Linked DNA regions of Macaca mulatta. The protein of the gene in region 1 interacts with the protein of each later gene in a pairwise test. Links are inferred from orthologs where the notes say so. Each region holds a gene or a part of one and is shown on either strand. Other genes may lie near its edges.

What was found.
Region 2: the proteins of LDOC1 (region 1) and FAM50B interact in binary tests that used the Homo sapiens proteins (3 or more experiments, as listed by UniProt). The two-hybrid records come from large-scale screens. The link is inferred for Macaca mulatta from reciprocal best matches to the Homo sapiens genes LDOC1 and FAM50B.
Region 3: the proteins of LDOC1 (region 1) and GNL3L interact in binary tests that used the Homo sapiens proteins (3 or more experiments, as listed by UniProt). The two-hybrid records come from large-scale screens. The link is inferred for Macaca mulatta from reciprocal best matches to the Homo sapiens genes LDOC1 and GNL3L.

The regions. Positions count from the first base shown.
Region 1 is NC_133426.1:147,689,497-147,692,694, forward strand, and holds LDOC1 (protein LDOC1), read left to right. Parts: upstream 1-1,348; 5' UTR 1,349-1,442; coding exon 1,443-1,883; 3' UTR 1,884-2,698; downstream 2,699-3,198. UniProt on the Homo sapiens protein: May have an important role in the development and/or progression of some cancers.
Region 2 is NC_133409.1:179,407,847-179,411,610, reverse strand, and holds FAM50B (protein FAM50B), read left to right. Parts: upstream 1-1,369; 5' UTR 1,370-1,462; intron 1,463-1,761; 5' UTR 1,762-1,784; coding exon 1,785-2,762; 3' UTR 2,763-3,264; downstream 3,265-3,764.
Region 3 is NC_133426.1:54,369,571-54,373,567, forward strand, and holds the start of GNL3L (guanine nucleotide-binding protein-like 3-like protein), read left to right. Parts: upstream 1-1,197; 5' UTR 1,198-1,286; exon of another isoform or gene 1,287-1,568; intron 1,569-1,625; exon of another isoform or gene 1,626-3,000; intron 3,001-3,433; 5' UTR 3,434-3,483; coding exon 3,484-3,499; intron 3,500-3,997.

The sequences.
Region 1 (3,198 bases):
GTTTGTTTGTTTTTGTTTTTTTTTTTAGAGATGGAGTCTCGCTTGGTAACCAAGGCTGGAGGAGTGCGCTGGCGCTATCTCGGCTCACTGCCACCTCCGCCTCCCGGGTTCAAGCGATTCTCCTGCCTTAGCCTCCTGAGTAGCTGGAACTACAGGCACCTGCCACCACGCCCCGCTAATATTTTGTATTTTTAGTAGAGACAGGGTTTCACCCTGTTAGCCAGGATGATCTCGATCTCCTGACTCGTGATCCGCCCTCCTTGGCCACCCAAAGTGCTAGGATTACAGGAGTGAGCCACCGCGCCCGATTCCTGTGGCTACTCTATGGAGAATATACTATAGGAAGAAAAGAGTGAAAGCTAAGTGATTAGTTGCAGCAGTCTGGGTGAGAAAGGCTGGGGATCAGGGTGGCAGTGGTAGAAATGACAAGTCATGACTGAATTGGCAATATATTTGAAAGCAGAGCCAACAATTCCTGTCGGCTCTAGGGATCCGTTTAAAGTAGAAAAACAAAATTATTTAAAAACACAAACATCTTAACAGTTCATTTTTAAGTACAGAATAAAACCCAGTGGCCAAAGGCACTAATAGCAGGACAAGAAATAGAGAATCAAAGATATGTGGGATGCCTGCAATTGATTATTGGATGCTGATTTTGCAAAACTTCTTTATATCCTGCTACTTAGGTTTGTTTTTTTTTGTTTGTTTGTTTTAAGGGAGTATGCCATATTATTCCCCTACTAAAGAAGTCACTGTTTAAATACTGCCTTTTTCATGAAAGGCAGGAACCCCTGAAGGTCTTCATGATCCTAAAAGGAAGTGTGAGTCCCACAGTGCAGCCAGCAGTGTCAATACTTCTCTGAGTGAGATTTAAACAAGAAAGAAAATGTGTTAATAAAACATCACGCCAAGAGAATCTAGTGGCCACAGACCCACGAAGGAACAACTGAGTTGTGAGAGTTGCCTAGGTAGAAGGGTGGCTAATCCTTTCAGTTTGAACAAATTTGCCTTCTCTGAGACCAAACTCAGCGCTCGCCAGGTCCTCTGCTAACGCAGGCCCCACAACCAGGAGCTAGGGGAGCCTACCCCAGCCTTTAACTGCCCGCCTAGAGACCTACCACAAGCCGGTGGTTCAGCGACCCAATGCATCCTTTTCCTGGCCACGCCCTCTTTGTCTAAACCCTTCCCATCCCGGCCACGCCCCCACGCAGCCGCGGCCGCCAGTCTGGCCACGCCCCTCCCGCGCCGCGCCGGCGCACCATCCGTCCGAATGGCCTCGTGGGCGGAGCTTGCGTAGCCTCCCGGACCCCGGCGCGCACCGCCCCCCGCCCCCAGCCCCTGGCCATCGAGCGTCTCCGTGGACACGCACTTCCTGCGAGGCCTCCGTGCGCACCTTGGCCGAGCCGAACCGAGCCGAGCCCTGTCCTTCCAGGCTGTTCGCAATGGTGGATGAGCTGGTGCTGCTGCTGCACGCGCTCCTGATGCGGCACCGCGCCCTGACCATCGAGAACAGCCAGCTCATGGAACAGCTGCGGCTGCTGGTGTGCGAGAGGGCCAGCCTGCTGCGCCAGGTACGTCCGCCGAGCTGCCCGGTGCCCTTCCCCGAAACGTTTAATGGCGAGAGCTCCCGGCTCCCTGAGTTTATCGTGCAGACAGCGTCTTACATGCTCGTGAACGAGAACCGATTCTGCAACGACGCCATGAAGGTGGCATTCCTAATCAGTCTCCTCACCGGGGAAGCCGAGGAGTGGGTGGTGCCCTACATCGAGATGGATAGCCCCATCCTAGGTGATTACCGAGCCTTCCTCGATGAGATGAAACAGTGCTTTGGCTGGGATGACGACGAAGACGACGACGACGAGGACGAAGAGGATAATTACTAGGCCCTCGGGCCTCGGGGGGAGGGCCCTGCACGCCGTCACCCCCTCCCCGCAGCCCTCACCCCGCCAGGAGCCAGTGCTCTCCCCCTTGCCCTCCGGTCCCCTTCCCTACCCGCGCCCGTCTGCTCTTTCTTCATTTCTCCGTAGTGCTTGTCTTTGTTCCAGGAATAGTGCTCCAGTTACCTGCTGCTGGGGTTGGGGCTGGAGCCTCACTCACTCGGAAGTGCTTGGAAGTGTCATCTACCCTGGCCATCCCGGGGATCCCTCCCCTGCTAATCTGAACTGTGTCCTGAACCCCAGCTATTGGCCAGGCCCCTGTTACAAACTGCGCAGACCACCCATAGCCCTGCTGCTGCCACCTGCCCTGCTGCCAGGCTTACATCTGCCCAGAGAACTATGCTGCCACTTCACATCCACTCACCACATCCCACCTACAGACTACCGCCTTTCGAGATCAGGACCAACCTGGAAAATGCCAGAGTTGGCTCTGCCTCTTCGGACATTGATTTGGACAGCTCACCAACCCCTGAAGAGGCCAGTCATTCAGCCTGGTTAGTTTTCTACCTACTCCGAGTGTCCTCCCCTGCCATACCAGATTGCTGCAGGGGCGCGGTGTGCCTGACAGCCAAATTGTTGATATTTCTTTTTTCCTATGCACTGGTTTTACACAGCTGTCATTTTTCTTTCAAAATTGCAGCAGTCCCACAGATGTATGCATTTGGACAAATAGTACTAAAAACAAAACAAACAAGCACTCAGCCCAGCTCCTCAATACTACCTGGAAAAAGCATTGGCATTATTTTCAATAAATATCAAGCACTAAAAAACGAAATGATTGTCTTTTAATAGTTAAGTGCTATCACTGACCTCTAGAACTGTCACTGTGACTACCGTTATTCCCATGGAAATCAGGGAATACAACCAATCCTAGGAATCCCTGCTGTCAACTCCAGGCTGCTGGGGACAGCTACCTCAGGGCTTTGTCAGGGTTCTGATGCTTCCTTCACCAACGCATTTCTTAAAGCCCTGGCAAAGGGTGTGTTCTCTGGGTCCTCCAGGGTGGCATGGGTAAGGGTTGGCTGAGCAGATGGCAAAGAGGGCAGTATTAATAATTAGACCGTAACAACAGGCATAAACCAGGACATATATATGTATTGCTCCTAATTCTCTGAGCTTTTGGATTCCTTAATATTGTGCCAGGGAAGTTCTGCCCCTTAATCCTTATTGCCTATATGCAGCTGTTGAGTTCAGGCTCCAGAGAGCCAACATAGTACATTGTCACTTTCAAACTCCAAATAGCCAACATGTCACTTACAGG
Region 2 (3,764 bases), on another chromosome or scaffold:
GATCACCATAGCAGATAGCCTAATGAAAAAGTCTGAAATATTGCAAGAATTACCAAAATGTGACACAGGAACACGAAGTGAGTACATGCTGTTGGAAAAATGGAGAAAGTAGGCACTTGATGCTGCATCGCCACAAATCTTCAATCTGTAAAAACAAAAACAAAACACACAGTATCCCAGAGCTCAATAAAATAAGATATTCTTGTATTCTGGTGATGAGGCAACAATGAGAAGGCTTCAGATTTTTTTAAAATGCTAATTTCCTAGATTAAGGCAAGTGGTGGGAAATGGGAGAAAAAGGAAAGTGTGAAAGGCTCTTCTGCAATCGATTTCATGTGAAGGAACGTCATTCCAGGAAAAGGCCTAGGTTTCTGGCTTGGACAATTTGATGAGTGCTCACACCCGCTATTCTCCTCTGGATACGTGGGTGCCATAGGTAACTATCATATGATTCACGCTTCTTGGTAAGGTTATGCTCACAGGCATTGTTGCTGTTAGACGGGAGTAGGCTGAACTGCAGTGTGTATTTCACAACCAGCTTTTCCAAACTAGGTCCCAGGAAGCACTGGTTTCAGCGAGTATTCCCAGATCTCCTGCAGGGGAGAAACGATCACACAACATGAACTGGTCTGCCCTGCCCTTGGAGAGTTGCAGTGGAAACTGGCATGTTAAAGGCTCACAGTAAAGACACTGCTATACTTTAACTCAGTTTCCCATGGTTATTAGAGCTTAGAACCCGGGGGGAAACTGCTGCATAGAAGAGGTCTAACAAGCTGAGTGCAGGTTTTGTCATGAAATTGGGGGGTGAGTAGGGTTCCATTATCAAAGAACGGTTGTTATGTTAGGGCCATAAGAAAGAATTACAAGCAGTGGTGTGCAGGTAACGTTCATGAGACGGCCACAGTGGGGTAGCATCAGAGGCGGGAGGAGACGCGGGAGGAGGAGGGTTGGAGAGCAGGGGCTGCAGCCTTGCGAGGCGGTTGCAAGCCTCTCTGGGTGACCACAGCAGCTTGCGCAGCGCCCACATTGCTTCTGCGTGTTTACAACTGGGCACGAGAAGGCTCAGCAAGCACGCACCGCTGGTGCGGGCCCTCCCTGCCCACAGCATGAAAACAGGAGCTCCGGCCAGCATTGGCTGGGCAGGGCCAGAGGCGCCTCCTCCAGGCTCCTCCCCGCGCTGGCCCGCCCCACAGGAGCACCGCCCCCGCCAGGAGCCAGGCGCTCTCCCGAGGGCCCGCCTCTCCGCCAGGGGGCGAGCCGCCTCCACTTCCTGTTTCCGCAGCCGCCCTACCAGGAGCCTGGCGCTCTCCTCAGGGCCCGCCTCCCCGCCAGGGGGCGCACCGCTTCCACTTCCTGTGTCCGTGGCTGTCGCGAGAGCCCGGGACGGGTGGGCCTTTGCTCGTGGGTGGTTCTCGTGGAGGTCAACTCCCGCGTGTCTCCGCTCGGCAGGGTGCTTGGGCAGGTAAGGGTTCGCTCAGTAGCCCAACCCTCTCTGTATGCAGCTCCCCAAATTCAGCGCAGCGCTCAGGCATGGCAGCCACCAGTTACGTGGGGCCATTTGCATTTGCATTTATTGAGGTCAAAGAAAAGGCTGGAAATTGGTGCGTGGTGACACCGTCAGGTTGGTGACCCTAGCAGGTCGGCCCAGCCCCTAAACGCTTCCATCACTGCCGAAAGCCCTGTGAGGAGGCGCAGAGCTTTGCATTTCCCGCAGTTGCACGGGCCCCTCTCTACTTGCCCCGTTTTTCCTCTTTGCTGCAGAGCCCAGCGGGTAGGCGGGGGCCATGGCGCAGTACAAGGGCACCATGCGCGAGGCGGGCCGTGCCATGCACCTCCTCAAGAAGCGCGAGAAGCAGCGGGAGCAGATGGAGGTGCTGAAGCAGCGCATCGCCGAGGAGACCATCCTCAAGTCGCAGGTGGACAAGAAGTTCTCGGCGCACTACGATGCCGTGGAGGCCGAGCTGAAGTCCAGCACGGTGGGCCTGGTGACCCTGAACGACATGAAGGCCCGGCAGGAGGCCCTGATCAGGGAGCGCGAGCGGCAGCTGGCCAAGCGCCAGCAGCTGGAGGAGCAGCGGCTGCAGCAGGAGCGGCTGCGGGAGCAGGAGCACCGGCGCGAGCGCAAGCGTAAGATCTCCTGCCTGTCCTTCGCGCTCGACGACCTCGATGACCAGGCGGACGCGGCCGAGGCCAGGCGCGCCGGAAACCTGGGCAAGAACCCCGACGTGGACACCAGCTTCCTGCCCGACCGCGACCGCGAGGAGGAGGAGAACCGGCTCCGGGAGGAGCTGCGCCAAGAGTGGGAGGCGCAGCGCGAGAAAGTGAAGGACGAGGAGATGGAGGTCACCTTCAGCTACTGGGACGGCTCGGGCCACCGGCGCACGGTGCGTGTGCGCAAGGGCAACACGGTGCAGCAGTTCCTGAAGAAGGCGCTGCAGGGGCTGCGCAAGGACTTCCTGGAGCTGCGCTCCGCGGGCGTGGAGCAGCTCATGTTCATCAAGGAGGACCTCATCCTGCCGCACTACCACACCTTCTATGACTTCATCATCGCCAAGGCAAGGGGCAAGAGCGGGCCGCTCTTCAACTTCGATGTGCACGACGACGTGCGCCTGCTCAGCGACGCCACCATGGAGAAGGACGAGTCGCACGCGGGCAAGGTGGTGCTGCGGAGCTGGTACGAGAAGAACAAGCACATCTTCCCCGCCAGCCGCTGGGAGGCCTACGACCCCGAGAAGAAGTGGGACAAGTACACCATCCGCTGACACCCGCCCGCCAGAGCAGAAACCGGGGGAGACACTCCTTTCTATGCCCCGCCACCAGTCACTTGATTTCCTGACCTTGATTTCTTCCCCCGAATTTAATAAAGACAGAGGGTTCTCATGATTCATATTGGTTGTCCTATTGCTGATGTTATGCTTTGGTTGTTTGGTTGGTCCTTTTCTGAGTATTTTAGTGTCCCTACCTGGATTTGCTGCATTGCTCTGCTGAGCTGTATTGAAACCATGTCTGGGCCCACTGTGAGACAGAAATTAGAAGAGGAGGCACATTTTTTACCTCATGGTTATGAGCATGGTCTTGGGGGCCACAGTGACTGAGTTTGATTCCCGACGCAGCTTCCTCCTTGCTGTGTAGTTTTGGGTAAGCTTATTAAACCCCCATGCCTCACTTTGGTCACCTGTAAAAGGAAATAACAAGAGCACTTACTTTAAAAAATGGATGTGAGGTTTGAGTTAATATTTGTAAAACACGTAGCACTTAATAAATGTTTTTTGTTATTATTATGGTTTTGGTTAATTTATTTAAAAGACTTCAGTGACCTAGTTCAGAACCATTTGAGGGCAAAGGTGGACCTGCCCATTACCGGTCCCAGGATCAGCAGTTGCCAGCAGGAGGGGGCTTGCAAAGGTTGGGGAGCAACCCCCCTCTAGTTGCCTTTAGCTGGGTTGTTTAGCCCAGAAGTTAGGAGGACAGAGCTAATGCAAGTAGCCTGCAGGGTGAGTATCATTGATTTTCCTTTTGCTCCAATATGACTCCAAAGGGCACAGTTGCAGATCCTGTCTTTATTGAAAACGTTTGTATTTTATTCATTGTGAATTATTTATGTTAATTTTGATTTTTAAAAATATTGTATTCAGGCCGGGTGTGGTGGCTCACGCCTGTAATCCTAGCATTTTGAGAGGCCAAGGTTTGTGGATCACCTGAGGTCAAGAGTTCGGGACCAGCCTGACCAACATGGTAAAACCCCGTCTCTACTAAAAATAAAA
Region 3 (3,997 bases), about 93 Mb from region 1:
CCTCCTCTGGAGACACAGCCACATAAAAAACTACAATATTGTGGTAAGTGCTAGCTTAGCTGTACAGGTAAGGTGCTCTGGGTTTCTGACTTATCTGGGAAAGTCAGGGAAGGTTTCAACGAAGTGACAAGTTAGGTCTTAGAGAAACAGAAAAAAAATTGCAAATGCAGGGGGAAAGGTGCAAGTGATCAGGGCTGGTTTGGGGTCCAGAGGAATTTCAGGTGTCTCTAGGATGAGAGGTTAGAAGCCCTCCAACGAAGTAGAGAGATAGTGAGTCCTGTTTATGGGTAAAGGGACAGAGGGAGTCATTTTCAGCCCATCTGTGCTTGAAGTGGAGAAACAAACCCACCCTCGGAGGCACAAAGTCCCACCTACTCTGTGCCCCACCCCAGGGTTTAGGCTTGAGGAAGAGGAGGGGCTGGAATTAAACCATCAGGAAGAAAACATTTTCAGACTAATATTTACTGTTTTGTGGGGGCAGACTTCACTTCCCAGCCAGCTCCTTGAGATGGCTTCAGAAATCCCTACTTGCCCCACTCCAGAGATATAAATTCATTCCCTTCTGTAGAAGCTGCTCCGGGATTGAGGGAAGGATGGAGTAGGAGGGGAAGAAGGCAAAAGGGTGGGAGAGGCTTCTAGTTCTGGCTTCTGCTCCAGCTCGGGTTGGGTCTGACCATAGATCTGAACGTATGCAGAGAGAGCTGGGAGTGCTCAGGGATTGTCTGGGGCCCAAGGACCCGGGAAGGTGGCTGGGAACAGCTAACCAATTCACTTCAGGTGGGGAATACTCGGCCAGCCATGTGACCTAGGCGGCCATTTTCTCACACCCTGCTGTCGCCATCTTCCATGCAGACAAAGACACCATCCCCCACCCTTATGTGATTCGGGCGTGGTGACTGCCTGGTTACTGAGATTTGGAAGCACGCATATTTAACCCCAGACAAATGCCCGCAGACAACATTTTGGCTTGCAAGTAGGGTATGTAGCCGCACCAGTCGACCCGCCGCTTCTTCCCGGTCACTTGGCCGTCCTCCTTTGCCCTCCTCGGCTCTTTCCTTACCTACGGGGCAGCCAGGAGGCGGGGCCAGCGTGGTCGCGAGGAAGGGACGGGCGGGCGCGAGCTGTCAGTCAGAAGCCCCGTCCCCTCGCGGAGAACGCACAGTGGGCGGAGTCGGGCGCCGCCGGCCTGGGATCCGGAAGTCGGAGCCTAGCTGCGCGAGAGCATCTGCTCGCCCAACCGACTTGTCGTGTTGCCCTCGCTTCTCAGATCTCCGCCGGAAGTGTAGGTAAGAAACTACTCTCCTCTTTTCTCACCTAGACGGCCGGGCAGTTAGGATCGTGTATTGGATGTGAAACCAGAGATGCCCGCCAGCCTGGAATAGAGAGGTAAACAGCCGGATCCTTTCCAGGGTAGAAGGACCCGGAAGAGGGGCAGGGTTCGCGGCACACGTGGAGACGCGCCTAATTGCCTTTTCGCGGAGTGGAGTTTGCCGGGAGAGGGGCATTGCCCCATCCCACCTAGAAAGGTGTAGACCCGGGACACACGGTGTAGAGAGGGACAAACTTCACTTGTGTGGTGAAGCGTTGATCGTCCTCAAGATAGTGAGGCTGCATTCTGCATTCACCCTGTATAGACAGGAGTCGACCCACCGAAGGAATGGGGGACATCCACCCCAACCGTGTAGAGACATCTCCCTCAACCCAGCTGAGCATCGCAGACTTCTCCCGACTTAAGGCATTTCCTTGGCTTGACTCTAGACAGCCGCCTCGAGGCACCTCCTCAGGACAGACAGACGCTTTGATATATCTGCCCCCATACCAGTATAGAGGAGCTTAGAAACATTTAATATACAGAGGGAGGGCACCTCCTCCCCATTCGCGTAGACCTAGAGCGCTCAGTGTCCCTCCCCAACTCACCCGTTCCCAAAGTGGTTGCAGATACAGGCCTCATCCTATAGACAACTAAGCCGATTGCCCCCTCCTCCTAGGTTAGATTGAGTCCCCATTGTGGAGAATCAGACCTGATCCCTACTTCCGTAGCCCCCGTTTTACCGAATGTGTAATTTTTCGAAGCACCCAAACAGAAACAGACCTTAATCCATGAAGAGACAGGTCTGCCCCTTGAGGGGCCATGGGGGTAGAGGGGCTCAGATGTGTTCCTCTCCTTTTGAGGTAGACACAGATCATCCCCCTACCTCCCCTACCTCCCCCAAAGATTTAGCATCACTAAATGTAGCAAGGGAGATACCCCACAGGAGCAGATAAGCAGGTCTCCCTCCCTGTAATGTTGAGAGGGAGTGACATCGTTGATTACCCGGCAGTGCAGTGCCTACGGTCTCTCCCCTTTACCCAAGGTAGTGGAGCTCAGATCTGTTTCTCTCCACCCAGGGTAGAATCACAGACGCCCCCACCCCCAAGTATTAGGGCTGATCTACTAATTTATAGCTGCATTGCCTGCCCCTTCCACACACCACCCATGCAGAGAACCAGAGCCCCTGTTTCTTTCAGTGTTAGTGTGCTGCTGACTTCAACCAGCATAAAAGATGAAAGTTGTCACAGTCCACCTCCCATAGAAGGGTCCAGAATAGCTCACTGCGGGTAAGGTGCAGACCTGCTTATTCAAAGCTGCATAGTTGTGGAATCAGGCATATCGATCCCTCACCTCAGCCCTCTCCAGGGTAAAGAGACGCAGGACCTATCCCCACAATCTAGAGATAAACAGATCTGTGGTTCTTTTCCCATGCAGCAGAGATGCACACAGCCACTTTGTGGGTTTCCCCAGTTTCTCTGCACCCCAGAGTAGGGGGACAGATGGCAATCCCCCCAACCCAAATCACTGAGGTATAGACCCCAGGCATATGCAGGCACAGATTTTTACCCCCTCCTCCAAGATTTTGTACTTATCTCAGTCCATATAGACACTCAGGTAAGAATCCCTGTTCTCAGGCCCCTTTTCCCCAGGGTAGACTCCTGGGCTCTATTTACGCCCTTCCCCACCACCTCTCCCAGGGCAGATGAGGTATAGAATCCCCTACTTGGGAAAAGAGGCACTATTATCACCCCATATAGAAGTAGACCATCCTTGCGTGCCCCTTTCCCCTCAGTGTGGAGGTGTTTAGCACTAGTCTTCTACCTAGAATATAACACTATAGTGTGGAGGAATAAGAACCAAAGACCTCATCTGATGCTTTGAGCCACTGACTCCACCCGGGATGAGGTTGAGACCTATTCCTCCCTTTGGGTAGTATGACACTTCCTTCTCTGTGTGGACTCAGCCATATGAGGCTCTAGCTTCAGCTTCTCCCAGTTTTCCTAATTATTACGGCTTCCTCATAATGTTCTTTAACATTTTACCTTTAGGGGACTTAGGAGGGGGCTTGTGGCATTGTAGTTCCCAGCTGTCTTCAAATTGCTTCTTCGTCCATTCTTACAGGAGGAGAACAAGCAGATTTGAACCTATCTGCTTTCAAGCTGGTCATCGCGATGAAACTTAGACACAGTGAGTTTCCTTTACCACCCCTCCCAATCCTGTGCTTTTAATGAATATTCATAGAATTTCACAGCAACTTTTCGTTGTTTTGGTTTTGTTTTGAGATGGAGTCTTGCTCTGTCACCCAGGCTGGAGTGCAGTGGTGCAATCTCAGTGCACTGTAACCTCCGCCTCCAGGGTTCAAGCATTTCCTGCCTCAGCCTACCGAGTAGCTGGGATTATAGATGTGAGCCACCATGCCAGGCTACTTTTTGTATTTTTAGTAGAGACGGAGTTTCACCATGTTGGCCAGGCTGGTCTCGAACTCCTGACCGCAAGTGATCTGCCCCTGTTGGCCTCCCAAAGTGCTGGGATTACAGGCGTGAGCCACTGCACCCGGCCTTCACAGCAACTTCTAAAAACTGCTGAATATGTTTCAGATCACTCGGTCTGGGTCTTTTTCATATGGTATCATTGCTGTCTTCCTGACTTCCTTGTCAGAGAATGTTTCCCTTATGCCCCATTCTC